Linked DNA regions of Drosophila melanogaster. The protein of the gene in region 2 interacts with the protein of the main gene of each other region in a biochemical or structural test. Each region holds a gene or a part of one and is shown on either strand. Other genes may lie near its edges.

Region 1 (3,751 bases), on a different chromosome or scaffold from region 2:
GCTACCGATGAAGTCGATGCGGATGTTGCAGGTTGCCTTAGGATATGCTGCTGTTGCTGCTGCTGCAGTTGTTGTTGTTGTTGTTCCTGGTGACGCGTCCCGTCCGTAGTTGCCGTTACCGTTTGATCGCCGTAGAAGGACGTCGCCCTGACTGAAAGTCCCGCTCCTAATCCCGAACAGAATCCGGATCCCCCGCCCCCGGCAACGGCGTAGTCAACGAAATCGGACGCTTTTGGGGGGTAGGACGTTTTCATTGGCGCATGCTATCCCGCTCGACGTGGTCGGCTGTCTCCCTTGCACTCAGTTGGCTTGCATTGGGGTTTTTGGGTTCCGTTCGCCTTTTTCCGGCCGCTTACAAACTTATGTTTACAAACTATGTTTGTACAAAACGTGGCGGCGAGTCACTGGCGAATTTCGAGTGACACCGTTTGAAATTTCACGTGAATTCAATATTTTAAGGCTTTTAAGTAAAATATTTTACGAAGAGGATATATTTACAAGAATATGCTTTTTTCAAGACAAATACAATTTATGCCAAATTAAAAGAGAATCTGCAAGTAGAGGGAGAACACAATAGCCATTAGCATGGTCGAATAAAATCACGTACCAAAAATATCATATCACCACACTCGCACACCTGCCCGGCATTCATACGTTTATATTTTAATTCGCTTTTGAAACTTTCCATTCAAATGTGTTGTCCAAATATTGACAGTGGAGACTAACTAGTGAACTAAATAACTTTATTTTGCTTTAAGTAATTTTGTAATGCCTTGGAAAGGCTTGTACAGCAACTTGGTAACTTTATGTTTCTTGCACGCAGAACTTCCTCATCTAGGCTCTACTGTAATTGTTTTGTTTTTTACTTGATTCCACTTTTAAACTACGCAAAAAGCGGCGTGAAAGAGAGCAAACTATAAAAACAAGACAAACACATTTCGGGTGTCGAAAAATGAAAACCACAAAAGAACGAAAAAAGCAAACAACAATAAAAACATTTGGGAGATACGCACTTGGCCCCGCACACAAACAACACGCACACTAGCGCACTTTTGGCCCACACGGATACACACCACGAAACCCTTTTCTACGCACTTTGCTGAAAATTCTACGAAGCCCCCTAAAATTAAACCTAATTGGCAACTTTCGTTGCCAAACCCAAAAAACAAATCCACAAAAAACAACAACAAATTAAAGCAAACACAAGCCGGTTCCAAAGTTATTAAATGGATTGCTCAGCGAGTGGAAAAGGGAGAGACAGTTTTGCTGAATGGATTTTCGTTCTGCAGCTGGCGAGTAAATGGATCCTACGGATACCCTTGCCTAATGTAAAATCGAAAAACGTAGCTCAAAAGGTTTTGATGGCCATTATCCGCACAATACCGATTAGTAACTTGATAAATTCACAGCTTTCATTACAGAGATGAACAGTGAGAATACATATTTCAGATGGGGCTTTGGGAAACACAATATCCCTTCGACAATTTACACGCACTCTCTAACTAACGTCTAATACGACGGCTCTTAGTTAACTACGTCGCCGAGAAGAGAAGAGGAAGACGGAGAAATCCGAAACCGGGCTAAAACAAGTTTCTGAAAGCGCTTCTTCTTGCCGCTGTTATTGTCCATCATCTCATTTTGGGTGTAGCCAAAATTAATATTTATGCTCGTTGATTTGTTTGCGGGAAAATTGCAAAACATAAAAGGTTTTCTTTCGTAATATTTCACCGCACAGCACCGCACTCGCACACACACTCACACACACACAAGCAGAGTTCACAAACACCTGCCAGCGAGTCCGGTGTTTATTTATGCATCTTAATTTGTTTTGCACCTTTTTCGCAGCAGCTTCGCCAGTCATATGTATATGCAGATATATATCTTGGCTTTCTGTAGCTGCCACTTCCTCGACGGCCGTGGCTGTATCTTCTGTGGCTGCAACGTCCGCTCGCGAAGCCGTTTGTGGAGACTCTGAATCGAAGAATTGAGGCACCGAAACTTTGTTGCCACAGAGCCGAAAAAAGAGAGCGGACACTCGCCGCTCTTCTCGGCTTCGGATTCTTCCAGGCGCCTGCGCAAGCCCGGTCTCCGCTCTTCCACTACCCACTTCCTGCCGCTCCAGAGAAGGGCTCCACCCCTCAAATTGCGACTTTTAGGGCTCTGCCCGGGGGACGAATCGCGAAATTATTTTTGCTTACTTTCTCTGTGGTTGTTGTTTTGGTTTTTCCTTCCCTTGCTACCCTATAATATCCTGGGTATCCTCTGCTTCGACCTTAACGTAAATGTTTAGGGATTTTCACTTACTATACTATACTATATAGTACTGTCTCTAAACTGGTCTTATCTGTACAAATTTATGATCCGGTATGAATAATTCCAGTAAGGGGTAATCCTTCGTCGGATAGCCGATTAAGTGCTTGATTGCTTACGTGGATGTCCCTGTTCGGGCGCCATCCAAAAGTGTGAGGGGCTCCATTTGACACGTAAGGATTTGCGTCGGCAGCAGAAAGCAGAAGGAAGGGGCGGAGAAAGCCAAAAGGGAGGCCAAGAACCGGCAAAGGGGCACCTTGTGAAATAGTTTTTTTTTTTTTTTGTTTTTTGTTGAGGTGGGTCGAGGAGAGGGGGTTGCGATGTGCGAATGGGCCAAAGTGGTTTAGTTGGGCAGCCGCCGGGTAAAAAGAGGCGCTGAGGAAAACTTGCGTCGTGGACAGACTTAATTACACACATATAGAACGAGATGGAAATGGCTGCGTGGATTGAACACATTTTTAGCCGAGCCAAAGAAAAGGTACGGGGGGTACTTTTCCACCAAAGGATCAAAAGAGAGCATATGGTTTCCAGCATGCTGAAAATAAGGAATGGAGAACAATTCTTAGGAAAACCTAGACTTGAAAAGCGCAACCAAACAAAAGGTAACTAAACTGGTGAATTCCCTATTACTCTTATGTAAATAAGCCAGCGCTTCAAAGAATTGCAATTTCCCCCAAGCACAAAAGTAAAGAGAAGGTAAGCCTTAAACATAATATTATATTTTTGTTTATAATTATGGTAGTTAAGCAACATTGTAATGGGCGGTGGCCTTTGTCATTAAATCTGGCATGGACTTTCGGGGTTTATGTAGCGCAGCAGGATGCGAGTTCGACAAGTCTGTGTCCCCGGGGGTTCCCCGCAGAAGACTTGCTTAACTGCAGCTTGAACGGGTTCTGCTTTCGGTGGCGACGTCAGCAGTCAGTCCTCTGGACTGTGCATCCACACCCTTCTTCTTTTCTGCAGCGACAACGCCACAATTCAATCAGCAATATGGTTGGCAGCCTGGGCATCAATTACAGGCCAATAAAGCTGGGTCCCCACTTACCCCCCACCTCCTAATCTCATTTTCCAACAGCTGTTGGGGGCGGAGACCTGTGGGAGGGACAGCTAACATATGGAAGCTTCGGGTTTTCATTTTTTCTCCCTGTAAGCTCTAATTGACAGCTGCCAAAGTGGGCGAGTGGGTTGGGGGAATGAGGGTTGCGCCGGGAAAACCCACAAGCAGTAAGCCTCACCCCTCCCCCTCCAATCAACTCGTTAAAGTTGTGCAACAATTTCCCTTTAAATGATTTACATAGGAAACCCATGAGGGAAGTGTGAAGGAGAGGGGGCACTCTCTCGATCTCTCTCTTTCGGTATCCTTGAATGGAGGAAAAGAGAGAGAGAGAGTGGAGAGAGCAACCGGCGGCGGTTTCTTTGATGAATCGACAAACGCTGATTA
Region 2 (3,751 bases):
ATCTCCATGTCGATCAGTTCGTCGTCGTCCTCGTCGCCGCTGCCGTTGTGCATATTCCGCTGCGATCCTCCCTCGCCGCCCTTCTCATCCTCCTGCTGCATCCGCTTGTGCTTGGTGCGTCGGTTCTGGAACCACACCTTCACCTGCGTCTCGGACAGATTGAGGTTTTGGGCCAGGGCCTTTCTCTCTGCCCCCACTACGTACTGGTTGCTCTCAAAGGCGTGCTCCAGCTTCAGCAGCTGCGACGGCGAGAAGGCGGTGCGGATGCGTTTCGGTTTGCGGAACGGGGGCACCAGGAAACCTTGAAAGAGGCAAAGAAGAAAGGGTTTCGGTTAGTCATCGGTATTTAAGATCATAACTCACAGCAATAAATTAGCAATGACAATATAATGCAATTATAAGAGACTCATCAAAACTAATTTAAAACATATTAGCATCTTTCATTTCTTATTACATTTATGAAGGTTTAGAATTATTACTTTAAAGAAATTTCTCATTTTTTGGCTTCAATTTGGACTCCAAGAACTATTTTTTTCCCTAAATCTCCTTTTTTTGTTTCGCATATAAAGAATCATTCCAAAAGATACTTACTTCCAGGGAATCGGTGTGGGAAGATCCTTCCATGGCGGCTGAGCAGCCAGGGGTACAGCTGATAGCTATCCCTGGCCATGCCTGGATTGGGCATAAACTGGGCGGCATGGGGCGGCAGGCCGGCGGCAGCAGCGGCGGCGGCCGCTGGACCAAGCACATGACCCGCTTGCAGGGCGGCGGCCATCTGGAACTGGGCAGCGGCAATGAGATGCGGATTGTGCTGAGGCGGCAGCTCCGGCGGAGCGTTGATGTAGGGCGGCAGCGCCTTGATGTCCGGCAAGCCGGGCTGACCCTGCGGCATCGGTGGTCCTCCGGGTCCCATGGGAAAGGGGCGAACGAGTCCAGCGGGCGGCATGCCCGGCATCATCATGGGTCCAGCTCCTCCGGGATGCATCATGGCGGGCTTTGGATAATTCGGGGGCGGCTGCTGCTGTTGCTGCTGTGGCGGTGTGGCATGTGGACTGCTGATCAGCAGAGTGGGCGAAGACGAGGGCTGCGAGGACTGGGGGCTCACGGATTTGGGAGGCGTGTGCGGTGGCTGGATGCGCTGGGCGGGATTCTCGGCCTGCTCCATGGCAGGTGGTGCAGGTGAGCGTTCCCGCTTGAGGGAGACGGCCATCTGGGGCTGCTCCGTTTCGGGGGAGAGGCGTGTCTGCAGCGGACTCAGGCCGCTGGCCATGGCGGCATTGTGGTGCAGCCTCTGCAGCAGCTCCTGAATGTCCTGGTGGCTCTTGGGTGTGCCCGGATGTTGCTGCTGCATGAGGAGGTGCTGGTGGAGCACATGTTGCTGCGCAGGCGATAGATGCGGATGCGGATGTGGTGCCTGCAAATGCTGCTGCTGAGCATGCGGATGCGGATAGGGCAGTCCGTGGGCAGGAGGAGCCATCAGATGGTGCGGGGGCGAGCCTGGGATCAAGGTGAGTGTGGCTGGTGGCGTTTGGGGCGGCGAACCGGGCACATTGCGCTCGCCGGGCGGCGGACTCTGGGGACCGGATAGATCGGGCGTCGAATTGCCGCCGGCGGTGCTGACATCATTGCCCACAATGGACTCGATGCTGAAACCGATCTTCTGCTTTGGTGTGGGCATCATGACGGCTGCAGCGGCGGTGGGAACCGGCGGAATCATCTTAGTCATAAATACGGCGGTTAGTTCGGCTATGTTGGCGGCTTTTTTTTCGAGGGTTTAAGCACGGTTTTCTGTTTAATCTAATCTGTTCTGTTTGTCTAATCCTCTGGGAAGTCCTTATTTGTAACTCTCTATGTTTCGTTGATTTTCTCACACTAAGCGACGCATTGGAAACGCTTTCATATATACGTTTAGTTACTTTATTAATCACACACACACTCGGGTTGTCAAGACTTGTGCTCTACGGCGATCGACGCGCTCGTTTTTCTTATTTTTTGTGTCGGAAGACGGAGAATATAGACGTGTGCTCTCGACGACGTTCGATGTCTGAATAAATCCGGTAAGCCCGGCAACACCACCAAGTGTGCGCTACTCGAAGAGAGCTGAGCTGCGGCGAGTCTTCTCTCTTCGCCAGTACAGGCCAAACCAGTTTATCGGGCCAGAGCGGGAGGCACTGTGCTCGGTGTAGTATGGCCGTCTTCTTTGCGCGCGCCTTGTGGATTTTATCTACCCTGCAGATATGGCCTAGCTGCGAAGGAGCGAGTGAAATGGCTGCTTTTCGAGGGGCGGGTCCAGTTCGGTGCGCTGCCTTTACCGAATTTTCTGCATATGGCTTCCGTTCAAACAGCCACCACTATACGACTTTGTTGTTGCTCTTGGCCTTTGTGTAATTTGGCTTAAACTGCCATTCATAGTTCTTGTTTTTGCGGTTGCATTTCTGGGCCGGAACGAGCGCTAAATGGAAATCTAATGCCAGGTGGGCAAAATGTCTCTGTTTGCGGACTCTGGCCAAATTTGCAGGAAGTTCGAAAAGGGTTTTCGAGGCTTACAGAGGATGTGCGTTTTAAATATTTCCCTTGCTCAGGGGGATTTTTGTTGTGCAAATTTATAGTTTAGCAAGGATTTGTTAGACGCTCTTTATATATTTCTGCATAAAACTAAAGATTAAGGAATATAAGTATTTTGTTAATGGTGTTTTTAAAGTTCGTAAACCCCATTCAACAACATGGCGTAAAATTTATAATTTAAAATACTTATTTAATTTATGATATTATATATTAACTTTCCCTATTTTAAAACGTCCCGGTTTTCGTACAGCTGACAATCCAGTCCACATTAGCAATTCCACACCACGGATGCACTTCAAACTTGCTGTTTCCATAAATCATCTACGAAACTTGATCGGGACAGTTTTATGAAATGTGCTACCGGGTTTATTTTTCGCTACGATTTAAATGTTAATTTTCAGGCATTACATTTTTTTTTTGGCACACGACAAAGTTTGCATAATTTATGTAGTGTCCGAATCGCAGTTCCAAATCAAAATCAGAGCAGGTTCATCAATTGTCGGGACGTGCCAAATGTCTCACTTCGTTTCCTCGGTCAACACTATAACATTTCCTATCAAACCCCAAGAGTTTTTCAAAAACAATGGAATAATATTCGGTAGTGCTATTTTCACACTCTGTTATCAGCCGGAGCCGTCAAATTCGTCGCCGGATTTCTGAGATTAATGGGCTAGGAATCGGCGAGAGCACAACAACAGCTTGTGCGATAGATTAAAATCTATCAAATTTTTATGGCCGCTAATTAAGCCACGCATATTTACCCATAGCTTTCGGTTCGAATCGACGCAAGGCATAAACAACTTTCGAGTCCATTAAAGCGTAATTATGTTGACTAATGGATTTTGATTACAAGGCGAAATGCTGTCGAAAGTTCAGCGATTTTTAGCTGAGTCGGTTTCATTTGCGGTCTAATCTGCAAAACGTGTGTGTAGCTAATTCGATTTGAAACTCGGCATCTGAGCTTTAGTTTTGATTTTGTGAAAGCTTCATTATAAGTAAAAAAAGTATTGGTCGAAATGATAAATATTAAATATAAATATCAAAAATATTAAATTAAATAAATATTTAGAAGTAATACTCTGATATCTATTTAATCAATTGTGGTTAGAAGAATCCTTGCAATCAGACGGCCAACATTTCGACGAATCAAGCATAATTGAGTTGAAAGAAAACGCAATTTACCTTG

Evidence for each region.
Region 1: of the proteins of ems (region 2) and Hipk, one has a biochemical effect on the other in vitro, tested with the Drosophila melanogaster proteins (one study listed by BioGRID).

What each region holds. Positions count from the first base shown.
Region 1 is NT_037436.4:544,282-548,032, reverse strand, and holds the start of Hipk (homeodomain interacting protein kinase), read right to left. Parts: upstream 1,975-3,751; 5' UTR 1,835-1,974; intron 552-1,834; 5' UTR 255-551; coding exon 1-254.
Region 2 is NT_033777.3:13,900,154-13,903,904, reverse strand, and holds the start of ems (empty spiracles), read right to left. Parts: upstream 2,053-3,751; 5' UTR 1,727-2,052; coding exon 592-1,726; intron 302-591; coding exon 1-301. UniProt on the Drosophila melanogaster protein: Acts as a homeotic selector gene controlling antennal and mandibular segment identity.